3 linked regions of the Caenorhabditis elegans genome follow. The protein of the gene in region 1 interacts with the protein of each later gene in a pairwise test. Each region holds a gene or a part of one and is shown in the gene's direction. Other genes may lie near its edges.

The links. Proteins that work in one complex are often made in the same cells at the same time.
Region 2: the proteins of nhr-239 (region 1) and jun-1 interact in a two-hybrid assay, tested with the Caenorhabditis elegans proteins (one large-scale study listed by BioGRID).
Region 3: the proteins of nhr-239 (region 1) and sem-2 interact in a two-hybrid assay, tested with the Caenorhabditis elegans proteins (one large-scale study listed by BioGRID).

Annotation. Positions count from the first base shown.
Region 1 is NC_003281.10:2,559,810-2,567,409, forward strand, and holds nhr-239 (Nuclear receptor domain-containing protein), read left to right. Parts: upstream 1-1,900; coding exon 1,901-1,904; intron 1,905-2,403; coding exon 2,404-2,544; intron 2,545-2,591; coding exon 2,592-2,687; intron 2,688-3,109; exon of another isoform or gene 3,110-3,240; coding exon of another isoform or gene 3,241-4,011; intron 4,012-4,059; coding exon of another isoform or gene 4,060-4,149; exon of another isoform or gene 4,150-4,174; intron 4,175-5,545; coding exon 5,546-5,623; intron 5,624-6,174; coding exon 6,175-6,338; intron 6,339-6,384; coding exon 6,385-6,466; intron 6,467-6,523; coding exon 6,524-6,747; 3' UTR 6,748-6,786; downstream 6,787-7,600. Other genes in the region: feh-1 (Protein Fe65 homolog), read left to right, coding at 515-595; Y54F10AM.11 (BTB domain-containing protein), read right to left, coding at 3,241-4,011, 4,060-4,149.
Region 2 is NC_003280.10:9,111,315-9,116,156, forward strand, and holds the start of jun-1 (Transcription factor jun-1), read left to right. Parts: upstream 1-1,842; 5' UTR 1,843-1,976; coding exon 1,977-2,088; intron 2,089-4,842. UniProt on the Caenorhabditis elegans protein: Transcription factor that recognizes and binds to the AP-1 non-canonical enhancer heptamer motif 5'-TTAGTCA-3'. Required for ovulation. Controls plc-1 expression in the spermatheca to regulate spermathecal valve dilation.
Region 3 is NC_003279.8:5,204,030-5,210,239, reverse strand, and holds sem-2 (Transcription factor sem-2), read left to right. Parts: upstream 1-2,111; 5' UTR 2,112-2,118; coding exon 2,119-2,319; intron 2,320-2,656; coding exon 2,657-2,920; intron 2,921-3,439; coding exon 3,440-3,847; intron 3,848-3,895; coding exon 3,896-4,009; intron 4,010-4,703; coding exon 4,704-4,931; 3' UTR 4,932-5,710; downstream 5,711-6,210. UniProt on the Caenorhabditis elegans protein: Probable transcription factor required for embryogenesis, vulval development and cell fate specification of the postembryonic mesoderm (also known as the M lineage).

The DNA of each region.
Region 1 (7,600 bases):
AGGGGTACTGTAGGAATACTTTAGGGCACTGTAGAAGTGCTTTAGGGGTACTGTAGAGCTGTTGTATGGGCACTGTAGGGATTCTGTAAGGGCCTGTAATGGGGGGGGGGTACTGTAGGGTACTGTAGTAGTACTCTAGAGTACTGTAGGTTACTGTAGGAGTATTGTAGGGATAGTGTAGGAATTCTGTAGATGTACTACAGGAATACTGTAGGACTACAGTAGATCTTATGTAAAGTTAATATGGAAGTACTGTAGGTGCACTACAAGGGTACTGTAGGGATACTATAGGGATACTGTAGGGAACTGTATGGGTACTGTAGGGGTACTGTAGTTTACTGTAGGATATTGAACAAAATTTTAAATTCGAAAAAAAAATTTTTTTTGATCGATGCACCATAACTTTTGTTGTGAGCCGAAATTAATGTGCACATACTACCAAAAAATCCAATTAACTCTTAATAATCTGCTGAAAGCCTTAAAATCCTTAAAACCTAACTTGAAATAATTACAGGGATGGACTGAAACATTTCGCGACGCTTTTGGTTCGGTGACGTCACGTATGGTACCTTCTAGGTCGGCACAACGACTTTGAATTCTTCATTTTTCTTCGGTTCTTTAATTTTCTGTATTTTTGATGGATTTTTCTCATATTTTTTTCTCTCATACTCTGTTCTGCTCATCCCAAATATGCTTTCAAACCAAAAGTTTACCCCGGCCCCTCACTTGGCAATATTCTTCAATCCACCGATACATTTTTACTTGTACAATCCCTCTTTCTGTGTAGCTTTTTCAACATCTGTGACAATTTTTTTTTGTTTTGTAGAATTTGATTTCTTTGAAAAAAGGTTTTTCTGATAAAAATGGAGTTTTATAACAAGTTTGGTGGAATGAACATGGTGCATCGATAGGTCGCGAAAATTGTTTGGCAGGAAGCTAGGCAGGCAGGCAGGCAGGTAAGTGAGCAGGTAGGCAGGCGGATAGCCATGTAGGTATGTAGGTACACCAATAGGTATGTAGGTAGGTAACCAGGCTGGTATGCAGGCATGCAGATAGGAAGGCCGATAGGTATGTAGGTAGGTAGCCAAATTGGTAGACAGGCATGAAGGCAGAAGACAGGTATTCAGTTAGGTAGGTAGGCCGGTAGGTATGTAGATAGGCAGCCAGGCTGGTAGGCAGGCATACAGGCAGATAGGTGTTTAGGTGGGCAGGAACGCCTATAGGCATTTAGGTAGGTAGGATGGCCGATAGGTATGTAGGTAGGTAACCAAGCTGGTACACAGGCATGCAGGCAGATAGGTATTAAGGTAGGCAGGTAGGCCGATAGGTATGTAGGTAGGTAACCAGGCTGGCAGGCAGGGGTCATACTGATAGGTAGGTAGGAACGCCGATATGTATGTAGGCATGCAGGCAGATAGGCATTTAGGTAGGTAGGTAGACAGGCTGGTAAGCAAACTAATAGTTGTTCAGTGAGATATTTAAAGTTTTCAATAGAAAATTTTAAAAAAATTAATTTGAATTTCTTTTTGCAAATTTTTTTTCTAAATTTTTTTCATAATTTTTTGCCTGTTTTTGCCCTTTTTTGCCCCAGCCAATTTCAGCTTCAAAATAGCAAATTCTTTCCGATTTTCCATAGAAAATCTATTCGATCAGAGTGTCGGTTGCTCAAAAATTCAATAAATAATTAATGCGCCCCGACTTATGATGAAGTAAGCTTCTTCTAACCTTGTGATTTTGGGAAAGGTGGGGGACTATTCTCATATTTCAACTAGTACTACTACTACCATCTGACACCGAATACCTTTCCAATTAGTGATTCTCAGGTGGTATAAATTGGCGAGCTGCAATACGGAGATATGCCTTTTATTTTTCGGTTTCCGGTGATTTTGCTAATTTTTCGATGGGTAAGTGAGAATTTTCTCGGTTTTTGTAATTATTCTGCAAAATTTGAATAAAAATTGGCCGCGCTACGTAGGCCAATAGTTCGTTGGGGCGCGTTTGCAGCAGTTCTTCGAATTTTTTAGTTTTTTACGAAAAACTCGTTAACTACAGTTTGAATTTGTTTCTTTCACAAAAACATTAATGGAATTTCCGCAAGCGGCAAACGATTTTTTCCGGCAAACCGGCAAATCGGCAAATTGCCGGAATTGAAAATTAATGGCAAATCGGCAAATTGCCGGAAATTAAAATTTCCGGCAAATCGGCAAACCGGCAAATTGATTTGCCGAATTTGCCGGAAAAATGGCAAATCGACAAATTGCCGGAATTGAAAATTTCCAGCAAATCGGAAAATTGCCGGAAAAACGGCAATTGCCAAAAATTTTCCGAAAATGTGAGGTCACACGAATTTCACAGCGCGCGCTCAAATTGGCGCAATTTCTGTAGATCAAATATCGTTTTCAGGCCGAAAAGACACGGCAGCCGTGAACTGTGAGATTTGTGGAGACAAGTCTTACGGTAGACACTATGGAGTATGGGCATGTGATGGATGCAGTTGCTTTTTCAAGAGAAGTGTACGCAAGAATATTATCTATACTTGTATTGGTTAGCTTTCAGGCCGGAAATTTATATTATCTGAAATTATATTTCAGCGGGAAATTGGAAGTGCGTCGTGGATAAAGGCCGAAGGAATTGGTGCCCGGCGTGTCGGCTTGCAAAATGCACAAGGTTGAAGATGAATAGACTCGGTGAGTAATAGGCTCAGGCCTAGGTGTAGGCCTAGGTGTGGGCCCAGGCATAGGCTTAGGATTAGACATGGGCCTAGGCTTAGACTTGGGCTTAGTCTTAGGCTTAGTCTTAGACTGAGGCCTAGGCTTAGGCTTAGGTGTAGGCCTAGGAGTAGGATTAGACTTTGAATCAGGAATAGTACTAGGCTTATTCGTGGGCTTAGGCTTAGGCTCAGTCTCTGGCTTAGGTTTAGGACTTGGCTTGGGCATAAGGTTATGCTTAGGCTCAGGCTTATGATTAGGCTTTGAATTAGTCTTAGGCGTAGGATTAGGCTTCGGCTCAGTCTTTGGCTCAAGCGTAGGATTAGGCTTTGGCTCAAGTCTCTCTTCTCTCTCTCTCTCCCTTTCCTAGAGTTTCAAACATTTCCGAGTCAAAAATAATATCAAGTTGCGACCCGATTTATGAATTCACAAAAATAACTTGAAATAGTCTAATATGTACACGATGAAAATTTAAATATACTAATAAAAAATATGGCGAAATTATTTGACATGAAAATTATCTTCTTATCCATCACTCCAGCGTGATTGTATCGTCGTGGCAGCTGCGTGCCTCCTCCTGGAACAGCTCCAGAGTTTCCGAGAAGCCGTCCTCCTCGTACTCCTCCGGCTCTGGCACAGACAGCTTCCGCGATCTTCTCGGCACCACGAACGTCCTCTGAAGGATCCTTGAGAGTTCCGGCTCCACGAGCTCAGCACCAGTGTCCTCAGAATCTCCGAGAGTTCCAGAGCTTCCGGAAGCGTTGTCGTCGGGAACTGTGAGCTCCATCTGAGAATGGTCATCTTCTGCTGGAGCGAGCATCTTCATAGTCCGGTCGAGCTCCTCCTCGGTGATTTGTGCTCCGGCTCCTTCTGGCTTTGCAGCTTCCTTGGCGAGAGCAGCAGCTCGGCGACACAACGCCATCATCGAATGACTGGCCAACTTCGGTGGGAATCGCATTTTCATCACTTGCTGACAGTCGGCTTCGCTTTGCAACGTCTCCAGAAGTTTGTCAAAGAGATTCCAGAATTTGTACGTCTCGGCGAGCTGGAGACGAAGCGAGAAATCCATTGACTCATCGAGTGAGAGCCAATTTTCGCAGCGAGCCATCACAAAATCCACGCCAAACCGTGCAGAAACCGTCAGAAGCGACTCCACATTCTGTGCTGTGATTTGATCCGTGTTGTGGTACATGAATTCGAGGAATTTGAGGAAATCCTCGGAAGAGACGTCCTGAATTGTGATCTCTGGATCTCCCGGGGTGGCGAACAGAGACTGGAAGACCCGCGAATGTGTGGCGAGATACTGAAAATAGTGAATTATTACACAAAAATTTTAGTAGTTTTCACAAACCTGCTTCCCCACGTGGAACTTCCGCTCCTCCACCACCACGATTGCGTCGAACACGAGCTCCTTTGGCATCGAGAAGTCCATTCCAGCCATTGTCTCGTTAGAACTGCTGGCGGTGCTGAAAAATCGAGTTTTACTTTGAAAATCCAAGAAAAATAGGCAGAAAATCGGCAAAAAATGAAGAAAAATCGAGTTTTACATTGAAAAAAAATGGCCAAAAATCGGAGAAAAATGGGCAAAAAACGGAGAGAATTGATGACAAATCAAAGAAAATGGAAAAAAAGAAGAAAATTCTGGAAGTGCAATGAAGCGCAATTCCCGCCGGTGTTTGCGTATTCTGCGCAATTTTCGTTTGACCTACGTAGGTCAAATCGAAAAGGGGCACTCTGACACCACCGGAAAACCCGATAAATTTCGGGAAACCGATAAATTTTTAGAAAAATCGAAAAATTACTGGAAAACCAATTGATTTCCAGAAAAATCAATAAATTTGCAAAAAAAAAATTGAGAAAATCGGAGAATTTTTTTTCCGTAAATTTATCGATTTTTTGGTTAATGTATACACTCAAAATAATAAAACTGCGTGGCGTGTACTGCAGAAAACCTCATATTTAGGCCCCGCCTTTTTCTCGTCCACTCACGGAGAAAAGGCAAAAATTTGGGGACCAACCAATATCAGGCCGCCGACATCCTACGGGTTCCGCGCGCCGCTATGTTTAACTCGCTGTGGGCGTGGTGCTGTCTCCGCCCGCTGCGAGTTAAACAAAGTTTTCACAAACCTGCTTCCCCACGTGGAACTTCCGCTCCTCCACCACCACGATTGCGTCGAACACGAGCTCCTTTGGCATCGAGAAGTCCATTCCAGCCATTGTCTCGTTAGAACTGCTGGCGGTGCTGAAAAATCGAGTTTTACTTTGAAAATCCAAGAAAAATAGGCAGAAAATCGGCAAAAAATGAAGAAAAATCGAGTTTTACATTGAAAAAAAATGGCCAAAAATCGGAGAAAAATGGGCAAAAAACGGAGAGAATTGATGACAAATCAAAGAAAATGGAAAAAAAGAAGAAAATTCTGGAAGTGCAATGAAGCGCAATTCCCGCCGGTGTTTGCGTATTCTGCGCAATTTTCGTTTGACCTACGTAGGTCAAATCGACGCCCGCTGCGAGTTAAACAAAGCGGCGCGCGGAACCCGTAGGATGTCGGCGGCCTGATATTGGTTGGTCCCCAAATTTTTGCCTTTTCTCCGTGAGTGGACGAGAAAAAGGCGGGGCCTAAATATGAGGTTTTCTGCAGTACACGCCACGCAGTTTTATTATTTTGAGTGTACGAAGCTGTAATGAAAAGAACCTTACATATATCTACAGAATTGAGACTCTTCGCACCAACGCCCCTGGGTAATATTAATTTAAAAATTGAACAGAATGTGTTGTCAATTTACGTTTTTAAATAGTGTTTTCTTTTTGCTTAACTGATATATCAAGTTCAATTCAGCTGTCCAAACTGAACGAGGACCTCGGAGGCTTCGATGCCTGCAGCTGAAACATACCAATAACCCCATCTCTTTCAAATGTAAGTCTATACTCGGGTAATTCATCAAAACTTATACACCAACTTAGCCTTGCATAGCCTTCTTTCTTCTAAGTTTGACTATTACAAAATTCTGAGAATGCGTATTGTGCAACATATTTGACGCGCAAAATATCTCATAGCGAAAACTACAGTAACTCTTTAAATGACTACTGTAAAGCTTGTGTCGATTTACGAAAATCATTTTTGATCGATAAAATATTAAAAATTAATAGTAAGCAAAAAAATGAACAAAATAATACGAAAAATCGAAGAAAAATGGAATATCGCTGTCACTTTTGGAAAATAAATTCATTTCGAAAGTAATTAAAAGAGATACTGTAGTTTTCGCTACGAGATATTTTGCGCGTCAAATATGTTGTGCAATACGCATTCTCTGAATTTAGTGTTCACGTAATACTTTGGACAACTTTATCCAACTTTTTTCAATCAAATTTAGCAACTTCTACGCTTGGCATTTCTAAAATTGCTAAAGTTGGTGGATAAGTTGTAGATTTCTTCTCTTATTCTCAGGTTTTTTTTTCCATTTCCAGATGACTCGATATTCTCGAAATCCGTAATCCTTACATCAAAATGCTTATTGCTAAACTTCATGTCCCAACAGGAACGTCGAGAAGTTGTTGAAGAAAACTGCCAAATCATATTTGCCCTATTGATATTGGCCAGTGGAGATGAGGCAGTACTAAGCAGGTTTCCAGTAAGTTTTTGGGTCTCACAGCGAATATTACCGTAACCCATTTAAGCCGCCAAAACCTATCCCGCAAAAAGTGCATTGTGACCCAGAACAACTACGGCTGACTATCTGCATACTTCTCTCCCAATCCAGTAAGTTTCAGATCCCCTTTTATTTATGCTAGATCTAGCTAGATATTAATTTTCCAGCCAGTCCCCTTCTGAAATTCGCTGCACCTTTGGAAAACTTTTATAAATGTTGTCTATGGCGGTACTCCTTCACAAATGACTCTATCGAGACAGCTACACAACTAATCAATACAGTTACGTGGCTCTATGAAAACGGACCATGGGAGATGTCAAGTTTGCTCCGAAGCTCCATGAGCAGTCTTATTACTGAAGTCTTTGAATCAGATAATGTTGAATTGTTTTGATTTTCAATTGATGGATGAATAAATGTTTTAATGAATTTACCGGTTTGCAATTTGCCGATTTGCCGGAAAACTTAATTCCGGCAATTTACCGGTTTGCCGGAAATTTTCAATTTCTGCAATTTGCCAATTTGCCGGAAATTTTCATTTCCGGCAATTTGCCGATGTGCCGGTTTGCCGGAAATTTTCAGTTCCGGCAATTTGCCGGTTTGCCGATTTGTCTGAAATTTTCAATTCAGACAAGTTGTCGGTTGGAATGTTTGTCGGAAATTTTCAATTCCGGCAATTTGCCGATTTGCCGGAAATTTAAAGTTCGGCAATTTGCCGGTTTGCCGATTTGCGAGAAATCTTAATTCCGGCAATTTGTCGATTTGCCGGAAATTTTCAATTCCGGCAATTTGCCGGTTTGCCGATTTGTCTGAAATTTTCAATTTCAGCAATTTACCGGTTTGCCGGAAGTTTTCAATTCCGGCAATTTGCAGGTTGGCCGATTTGCCGGAAATTTTCGATTCATGGCAATTTGCCGATTTGCCGGAAATTTTCATTTTCGGCAATTTGCCGGTTTGCCGATTTGCCGGAAATTTTCAATTTCGGAAATTTGCCGATTTGTCGGAAATTTCAAATTTGGGCAATTTGCGGGTTTGCCAGAAATTTTCAATTCCAGCAATTTGCCGATTTGTTGGAATTTTCAAATTTGGGAAATTTGCGGGTTTGCCGGGAATTTTCGATTCCGGCACTTTGCCGGTTTGTCCATTTGCCGGAAATTTCAAATTCCAGCAATTTGCCGGTTTGCCGAATATTTTAAATTCCGGCAACTTGCTGTAATTTTCACTACAAACATCAAAATTATAGACTA
Region 2 (4,842 bases), on another chromosome or scaffold:
TAAATATTATTTAGATGAGGGGCTCCTTATTACGTATGCCGGTGCGTGCACTTTCTATTTTCTTCCTTTTTTTCTGAATTTTTTATTTTCAGCCAGGCGTTTCCCTTTCGACGTAATTTGTTCTCGAAATCACCTGAAATGTGAATGGGTGGGCAGAGGAAACACAAAAAAAGAGAGAATTCAAATTGATTCTGATGTGATGCCATTTCCACTAATCTCTCAATTCTTACTCCCACCATTTTTTTGCAATGATTTCCGAATTTGTGACTGCTTTTTCGTTCCGATTTCATTTTGATGACCGTGTACAAAAAGATGAGCAGACAACCATAACGAACGCGAAATTGTATGGAATCGTGAGAGACATAAGTATGATTAGAGAAAATACGAAGTTATCAATTATGAGTAGATACTACTGTTGATATTGTAAATTGGAAAGTGAATCACAAATCATGACTATTGGAGACCAATGAAACACTTTCAGATTTATGTTCGAAACTTCGTACCCAACTTGGTTCCGAAATTGGCAAAACTTGGCCAATTCCTGGTTCACGAATGTACAATTCAAAAGCCTCTAGATATCAGCACAAATAAGCCAAATAAAACATGAAGTTAGTAATAATAAAAGATAATTAGCATCGATCGTGTTAGGCCGAATGACTATTCTTATGCAAATTACGGTGTTTCTATGAAAAAATTAAGTGCAAGTGCCGAAAAAAATCTACCAATCAAAATTAACTTTGCAAATGCGATACAAATTCCCAAATGCAATGAACTGATATCTACCGTACTTTCCAAATGGTATGGTACACGGTATGTTACCTTGAATAAAACTTGTTTTGATATCTAGACGAGTTGTTTGGTATGCTGAATAACATGGTAAAACAGTTCAAAAAATTAAAAAATGTTTGTAACTGTAGTCAAAATCTGGCTATTACTAATAATATGTTATCACGTATTACAAATATGAAAGATCTAGGACCGAACATGCAAAAATAGTATAAATTACTTTGAAAAAAAACCTTTTTTTTGCATTGTGCCAAAAACAAAACCTCAAACAATTTCAAAAAGAAAATCAAAATATGTTTAGATTTTGTAAAAATGATCTAGAGTATTTCTGGTCTAGTTGAAGTATGTGCAGACAAAATTCTCGAATGTCATAATCGAACACTCCAGAGTAAAATGTTCATTAACAGTTTTAGTAAATTGCCAAATTTTCCAAAAAATGTTTTCTGGTCGACTTCCAAAATTGGATTTACTGAAACATGAGTTTTTATTACTCTCGGTTTTTATTAATTTGAAAAACCGGATCAGAAAGCTTCAAACCCCTGCAAAAAACGTATTATATTTTAGTTATTATTGGGTGCATAAACAAGATCTATGGGTAAAAGACTAATGAGGTCAGGCCTAAAAAGAATGAAAAACAAGATGAGCTCTGAAAAAGCCAATGAACTTCCAAAAAGATAAGTGGCTGATGGAAAGGCAAATACAGAAGTCAAAGGAGCGGAGAGAAATGAGGGAAAAGAGACGGAGAACGTGAAGCAAGCACACTGACACATTATTTACGGTAACATTTTTCTGCGAACTTTATCCATTTCCTCTCTTTCTCTCTCCATTTACCTTTCTAAATGTCAATTGGGTGGTGGAAAGAGAGAATGAAAAATAGAGAGAATGAGAAACTTCTGGATTCTCTCAATTTTCAATGTTTTCTTTCAATGTTCGTTTGTCTATCTGCGTCTATGGATGTCATGGATCTGGAAAATAGAGAGAAAGAGATAGAGATAGAAAAAGAGAGAAAAAGGAAAAGAACGAGTCAGCAGAGGAAAAGAGACAAGAGTGAGTGTGCGTGTGACTCATTCTCGGGGCCCCCGCCGACTAACCCCCATCGCCATCGTCGTCAACCGATTCGTCATCAACTTCTCTTCCTCTCTATTCAATTCTTATTTGTCAAAAGGTTTTGAAATCAAAATAAAACAAAAATGGAAGAGGATCAAGAGGAACCACCATCCTCATCAACATCATCAGAATCTCCAGAAGTTGTTCTAAAAGCTCCAAAAGCTCCAACTCGAAGAAGGAAAAATTCCAAAAAGGGTTAGTTTGTTTGTCTAGTTCAAAAGTTTTGGAATACTTGATGATAAACCTGTCACAATAGGAAATGGACAATCATGGTTACAAAACTATAGTTTCACTACTATCAAAATGCCAAATTACAACTACCAAACATTTGTGATCTCGTGATTTTATCGTTAATTGATGAAGTTGTTTGTCAAAACATTATATCAATTTGTAGATCTATGTTTAATATGAATTCTTTGAACCCATAAAAAGTTTATGACGCGTGCCAAAAAAAACAGGTGGTTGTTAAAATTGTTTTGTATTTTTCTTAAATGATTTGTAAAATTAAATCATATTGTTTCTTACCAAATTGAAAGTTTTTCTATGCAACAATTTCCTTTCAACTGGACATAAAACACTTAAAAATAGAGTAAACGGTATAATCCTGGCTCCGCCCACTTTTATGAATGTTCATCATTACATTTTAATCATCACAAAAACTACGAGCGAGACTCTAATTCGGAGAGAGACGCAGTGATCGAGAAAAAAAAATCGAGTTGACACGTGATTTTCGATTCCAACGACGCAGCTACTGTAGTGATCGAAGCGGCGCACAGCTTTTCCCGCCCGTTCCATCTGGCAACTGTCTGCGTCTCTTCGTCTTATATGGTCTCTTTTCTTCGAACTGTTTTTTGTTGATAAACGCATATGCCTAGTTTAGCGGAAGTGTAGAGGCATTAGGGTTAGGATCTAGGAACTTGAAACTATATATATATATATATTCCTAGACCATATTCTGTAAACTTGGTAAATTTTTTGAACTTTCATTAAACCTAAATTCTTGATTAATATTTAAAATTGCAATTAACGGTAAAACTATGTTTTTTTGGAAAATCTCTACCTCCTACTCTAGCTTGTCCCCTAGCTTTACTTTGAAGATTTGTATTATTCAAATCCTTCAAAAAAAGCTTAAATATATTATGGTATACAAATCCGACAAACCTCATTTCTCTAAAACCTTCATCTAGAAATTTAACATATTTCAAACCCGACATTTTTTCACAAGAACTACCTAATAAATCACCACAATATGTCTCTCCGCCCTCTCTTGGTTTGAGAGCAATATTTCATTGGTTCGACCTGATTGTGCCAAATGATAAGACTAACAGCTGTTCCTTTCGGAAGTTTCATTATTAGCTCATCAGATCATTTTAGTACACTATTTGGGTTTTTTAAGGTTTTGTCGAAATTTATAGTTAGGTATTTTGAAAACGTTCTTCGAAGTCATATTGACAAAAGTACAATACGAAAATACAAAACACACTATAAGTACAGAAAATTCAAGCAAAAGTTCAAACAATGCTATTTTAAAATTGATTTTGAACGATCGAATGCTATAAAAAATCTAAAATGATCTTACAAATGGCTTATCCCGGCCCTTCGCTTCTCTATTTTACGTCGAATTTCTCGTTATCAAGATTTTTGCAAAGAAGATGTTTAAAAGTTTGTCTTGAAATTTTTTTTAGCTACGTGAGCTGAACTAATTTTCGATGCGTTTATTCTCGAACTTTGGTTTCTTAATTTCCATTTTATCCAGACATATTTTGTTCATTCGTTCTATCCGTTCCCATTCATTTCTTGGAATGAGTCATCGGGCTTTCGTAAATGTTTTGACACACACTTTGCCCCTTTTTTCCTTCCCATCTTTCAGTTTTTAGGCTCTGATTTCTGTTCCATAACATGCATGGGTAATGAGATGAAAGAGGCTATGGCAACTCTTGCGAAACAGTCATATGTTTGATGAAATATTCAGGCGAATCTCTGTTAGTATTTGTTCTCATTTTCTGCAGAAGTTGTTTCAATTTTAGAATGGAACCTGTAGGTAGTTAGTCATTTTGAACTCAGTTTTAGCTAGGTTACCCATAGTAGATCTATCTAGAGAGGTGCATCCTCAGGATCCACTGCCTGCCTCAAACCTACCCGCCCCTCCTGGCTTCATATTTTTGATTCAACGATGTTTGGCGCTCGAATTGTGTTAACTCATGAGTTATTAATATTTCTAGGCACAAGGCAGGCAAGGGTTGCCGTGAAGGCAAGCCAAGTTCCGATGAGGCGCATGAAGCCCTAGTTTCAGCCAATTCCCATCAAACCTGACACTAATCTTTAAAGAACATATTCATGACGTTCTGCTCGTGGAAGACTGATCTGCTCTAATATTTTCTTTTTGATGTTTATCTCTGAGCTTTTCTGGTTCTCTAGTTTCATCTACATTTTCTGTTAGAGAACATCTGAGAATCTTTTTCTTCTTCTCTTTTTTTCACTTTTTCTATTTTCCCACCATCATAAACACAAATTAAAGAACGTGCTTGGATGGAGCATTATGAAAGTTTTTCACTTTCCTTTTTCGTGTCGCGTATTCAAAAACTTTAAACAACATTTCCCACCAACTTTTTCTGCTAATCAGCGTAGTTCCAAGAACATCGTTAACATGTTTTGTTAATCAAATCTAACACGCGTTTCATGATCAATTGATGTTTGTGTTATGAAGTTATCTGAAACATTTTTCTTCATATATATTGAATCTATTTTTTTGTTATGCTTTTCTCGATTCCCGCCAATTTAGGATATATTCTTGTTGGAATTGTACTTCCTAAATGTGCTGATATTTTGGAAAACAATTATTTTCCGGGTCTTTTGATTTGATCTATGATTTTGCAGTGGCTGAATTTTAAATAATTATCAAAGAAATCATAGTTTTTGTAAATATACCTAAAGAACATAACCGTATTT
Region 3 (6,210 bases), on another chromosome or scaffold:
GATGATCTCGAGACACTTTCACCTCTTCTGCCCCCTCTTTTGCCCCTTCCTGAGTTGAGAACCGGTTCCAAATTCTGCCGATTTGCGATTCTCTCTCTCTCCTTCTGCGCATCAGAAGCTGAAGGCATCACCGAGCGTCGAGACTGTGAACACTTTTCCTCTTTTCTACCTCCAAAAAGTTACATAATACAGTTTTTTTGGAGGAAAGGTGTAAGGGGGCAGAAGTCATGATTCATTCGAGAGTGAACGCTAAATGAGATGAGGAGAAGGAAAAGCTGGTTTCGAAGAAGGATCAAGGTTACTGTAGTTATCAAGTAACCACTTGATCATAGGTTTTAGTTTGGAGTGTGCTAGTCTAGCAGAATTGCACATAACTTTCGATATCGTTGGGCACATATTTTGACTGTTTTAGAGTCGCCATGTGCATATAGTGCCCGACTTCGTTGACGATCTGTACATCGTGCATCGTAATGTCTATGAGGTACCTGCTGAAAGCATGACAAATTAACTGTGTAGGCAAAAGTTAGGAGCTCTTTTCTTTAGAAATAAGCATATTTGAGAGTTTCTTCAGTTAAAGTTAACCCAATATTTTGTTGTTACTTTTTTGATATCGAACATGGCAAGGTTTTTCACGGTCAGAGATTTTGAAATGTTCCAAAAAATACCAAAGTATGCATCAAAAATATAAGCCACCTTTTTTCAGTTCATTTAAGAATCTATTAGAATTAGAAATCTATGTTTGTCTAGATACCTTGCTTATTTCTCATTGGAAATACAATTATCTTTGTTATATTCAGAATTTCAATAGTTGAGTTTCATGTCTAACTCATCCCAAAATTCTTGTTTATCCAATTTCCCATGCAATCTAGCCACCTCAATGTACCAAGTTACTTGCCTCCTTTCGGAACTCTGCCGCAAATAACTTGGCACCTCGTGGTCCTTTGCAAAGTGCCGTAGAGGCGGTCTAGACACGCCTTTTTCAGGACGGGAGGCGGTGGTTGTAAGGAGGAAGATATACTTGTTACCATTTAGTTTTTCTCATTTCTGTTTTCTTGGCACCCTTTTTGATATTCTTTTCTATATAGTATTGTTTCACTTTCTGTACTTGGGTTTCCAAGATGAATGCTCTCTAAATGTGTCAAACCTTTTGCTCTCTGAAAACTTCCATTTCCAAACCATTTCTCTCATGACATGCCAATCTACCGTACATATACACACAGTAGTAGTACATCATCTCGTTTGGCCAATGCCAATTACAATTACCAAATGTCAAACCATTACATCATGCGAGAAGCCTCACTACCGCACTCTCGAAGTACACAGCTTCTGCTTCATTCTCCTACTTCGTTTTTGCCCCTTTCTAAAAATACCAGTTTTCTGATGCTTCTCCCCCTTATTCTATTGTGTTGTATTGTTATGTCATCACTCTTGTCATTGGGTTGTACAACATCCCTTTTCTCGAGAGAGAGAGAGAGAAATGAAAATGAGACAGAAAGGCAGTTTGACCTGATCATCTCGAAGAAGAATCAGTCAGGCTTATCATCAAAAATTGAATAGATTAAGCTCCTACGGTCATTTGCTAATTAACTTATCCAGCTAGAATCGTGGTAGTCATGATTGTTGATATTTAAGTTCTTATTTTGAATTTTTTCCTTTCTTGCCGTCTCTCTCCTTTTCCATACTTTTGCACATGTTCCAGCTTTTCTCCAGGAAAAAATTATCAGTGCTGGCTCTTATCAGTAAGCAAGTGACCGGCAACTAGAACCCTGCTTTACTATTACTTGAAAGTTTCTAATTGTATAGTTGGTTACGTTTCTTTTTGGAAAAGTATACTCTTGGTAGATTCTACCGTATACTTGTATCCTAAAGTATACTGTACTAAAGATACACTGAACGCCACCTTGTCTATCTCCTCGTAGAAATCTCTCATGGAAACGGATCGTAGACATCTTTGAATCTCTTATTCTCTCTAACTCTCGTTCTTTTTGGATTTTCCCTATATTTTCTGCCGAAATTCGGTCTCCTGAATTTCACTTTCTCTTACCTTTCTCTTTTAATTTTTCCACTTTCCGTTTCAACAATATTATTTTTCGTATTACTTTTTATTTCAGATATCAAATGGATCTCCAAAAACCGCCCAACTTCATGCTGGATTGTGGAATGGCTCCGCATATGATGCCGCCGATTAACTGGGCTGCGGCCGCAATTGCAGTAGCCTCATCGACTTCTGGAGCCACAAATGCCACATCGTCTAACTCGGTTGCCACGTCACAACAATTACAACATCATCCATATGGGACAGCAGCTGGAGGCTATAAGGTTTGTGATACGGTTTTTTTGGTTGTAAATATTGAAACAATGGGCTTTACACTTTGATAAGTGATAAGCTGTCAAAAGGACATCAGGAAGTGGACACAGCCCTTTTTGTAATAATTTTTTAGTAAACAAGGTAATAAATTTAGTAAAAACAAAAAACATGATACTTTGCACTGGTCATCTTGTTATCTTATTTTTTGAAACTTCTAGAGTGGAAGAGCAACAAATTTGAAAACTCTTTTCTTATCAGTTACTTGACATTTGCACTTTTAGAAATGTTCTCAACCTAGAAGTACCAAAAAATTAAAAATTGCTCTGAAACAAATCCATACATTTTCAGCATGCACAACAAGCGATTCCCAAATCAGTGACCCCGTATTCGGATGCAACAAATTGCAAAAAGTCATCAAATCACATCAAGCGACCAATGAACGCTTTTATGGTTTGGTCTCAAATGGAACGGAGAAAGATTTGTGAGCATCAGCCAGATATGCATAATGCAGAAATCAGTAAGCAATTGGGAAGTCGTTGGAGAAGTTTGACTGATGAGGAAAAAGCTCCATTTGTTGCTGAAGCTGAGAGACTCAGAGTTTGTCATATGCAGGTTAGTATGGGAGAATATAGTTTAATTCAATTCAATATTGATACCGAATTTTCTATATAAGTAAGAAATACAGTAATAATTTTTGAACAAGTGTATTTTCACTAAATAATTTCAAAACGTATTGTGCTGATAATAGAGGCTTCATACCAATCAAAAGTTTTCCGTAATCGGCATTTTCGGAAATTCAAAAATACGACAATTATCGAGTTCAAAAAAGTTAAAAAAAAAGAGAATAATTTGAAAAAAAAATTTGAATTTTGAACGAAAAACAAATTTCTACTATAGTCAGTGTAGGAGGTAGGTGAAACAATATAAGCTTTTCATTAAAAACTAAAAATTCCAATATTTTATTTTTGGTGATTTTCCGAATCTCAGAAATTTTTAAATATTCGACGTTTTTGGCAACTGCCAAATTATCAAATTTTAGAATATTCAAATAGTAGCTTACCTCTGTGCCACACAGGAAATACTGTAACCGGATTTTTCGAATAATTGTATTGTAATTTTAAATTTTTTCAGGAATATCCAGACTACAAATACAAGCCACGCAAGAAGCCAAAGAAGAATCCAGATGGAACACTTCAGCAGCCAGCTCAACCCCAAGCTCCACAACAGCAACAGGCCCCACCACGTGGAGCATCACCACAGGCTCGTCAACGAAAACGTCCAAACACAGATCAACAGTCAGAAACACAACAATTCCAAAACTTTAAATCAGTGAAAGTGGAGCAAGATTGGATGGGAAATGCTCATATGAGTCATGCACAAAAGATGCCATTTCATCCATCGTATCCATCACCTTCCGAGTTTGGACATGCTCCGTTGACACCTGAATCTGGATTTTATGATGACTATTTTACACAGCAACATCATCAACAGCATTTTGCATCACAACATCATAATTCGGCAGGAAGTCCCCTCAGAATGGTTAGTTTTTATAGATCACGAAATGCTTGGAAAATTCAATATTTTCAGACGAATCTTGGTATGGACATGGGAATGCCACCACAAATGATGGGGCATAATTCGGGATTTGGAGCTGGTAATCATCCTTTCTACTTGCACACTTCACCACCATCAGTTGATCAGGTACGGGTTGTCTCTTTTGCATGAGATTTTGTTTGAAGCACTTTTTGTTTGGGAGTACGGTAGGATGTAGTGGCTAAAAATTTAGAAAATTGCCAAATTTTATTTTCTGAAAGGTGGGGAATTTTATCTTAAAGAAAATAATTAATCACTCAAAATACTTTATATTTGTCAAAATTTTCAATCAAAGTTTTGCAAATTATCAAATTTCCGAAGAAATTTAACTTTATGAGAAATTGTTCGAGCCCTTAGAATTTATAGAAACACTTACTTGTGATTCAATTTTTACTTAGGTTTAGTACTTAAAACCCGTTGACTGTAAATTTTAAAAAAAGTTCAAAAATTTTTGAATTTTTCTGAAGTGGATTAAGTAGTTTCTAATACATTGTCGATATTTCATCTTTTATATTGAAAAACATTTAAATCATAAAATTCTTAGTACTGGCCATTGGATTTTGAAAATTTATATTATTAGTCCTTTTAGCGTAAATCCTACCGTACTCCATTTTCCACTACAATCCCTTCCCAGCATCCATGCTTAACATCCTAATAACCGCTTGTTTTCCTTCAGATACCTAACCCAATGATTCAGAATCATAATCTTTATAACATGTACCACTTCGCACCATCACCAGCACCAACTTCAACACCACCAGCACAATATCCTCATGAAATGTTCAAAACTCATGAGTTTCAGGACGACATGCGTAGTCTATCGTCTGGATCTTCGGGATACGCCGACTGTAGTGCTTCTGAACAATCAACGTCATCACCAAACTCGGCGGGAGTCGTCACAATGGCTACGGCCGCTACGACTACAACACATTTGGATGACCTGGAGCAGATTTGTCCAACTGTAACCACAGGCGAGCTGGTCAATTATCCATGGAGCGATGCATTGGGAATTGATATTAATTTTTCTTGAATATTTCAGACAAGTTTTTTTTTGAAAACTTCTGAAAGTTCGGGTAGTAAGTAGATCGCTACGTCCAAATGTTTTTTTTCACTGTTTCTTCTGAAAGCCCAACATTTTCTGCTCCTACCTCAATTCTAGCCTCTCCCCTGAAACAATTCTCTCTTTATCTCTCTCCAACAATTTTCGAGTGTCCCTTTAGTCCGGTCTTAGTACCTTTTAATCCCCAGCATTTTCTAGTTATTTACCACCTTTTTCTGTATTTTTCTCTTTGTTTTCCAGTATTTCCTCAACAAATCCAAGCGATTGTATTCTTTCATTTCTTGAAACCCTAAGAGTATTTCTACAAATCCAAAAAGTAATTCACTAATTTCAAATTGAAAGTATTCTTCTACAAAAGTATCGTCCCCATTTCTTTACCCATTTTTATCCTCTCCCAGCTTTACCGAGCCAGTTTTCATTCGTTCTTTCAACTTTCATCGATTACCCAATTCGCCGTTGTACTTGAAAAAAAAAATTTCTGAGATTTCAAGCACGAAATTATGATTGTATATGTTGAACACTTCCCCCCATCCCCTGCCCTCTACAATATGCCAAATGTAGCTACCCTTTTTCCCAAACCTGAAGAAATATTTATTCTCTTGTTCATCTCTAAATATCTCTTATCCTTTTTCACTCATCTTTCCAAATTTTCAGTATTGAATGAATTTCTTCCTCTTGATTTCATTTATTATTGATTGATTTATGTTTGTCTCCTTTTTCTGAGCAATAAAAATCATTTAAAAAATTAACTTGTTTTTGATTTCAAAATACATAGATTTGTGGAAATAATATACGTTTAATTAATTTTTTCTGTTCTGTAAATTAAAATTCAGGTAAATACCTAGCAATTTTCTACTATTAATTAGTTATTGGCAGCTGCGGCAAGTGTGTGACACAAATTGAAAAAACTTCCCTAAATAATGTCTCGTAAACAGTCTCGTAAAATATGTATGACATATTACAATTTAACATAACAGTTCAATCCTGGCCTGAAATCAATTTTTGTGCTGGTAGAACAATTGCTCCGTGAATACTGCAATAACCGAGCAGTCGGGAAGCCGCTTTTCTGGAACCTCTTGTTTTTTTTTGCAATGTCATTCTCGGAATTTTGGCACTTTTCTGAAACCTGCTTTAAAAAGTCACACCCTGTTTTTGGCTCCAACAGCTTTGAAAAAAAAACAACCTTCAAATAAATAGTGCATTCTATCATCCGTCCTTCACAACCTCAACTTGTCGGCATGTTTCTTTT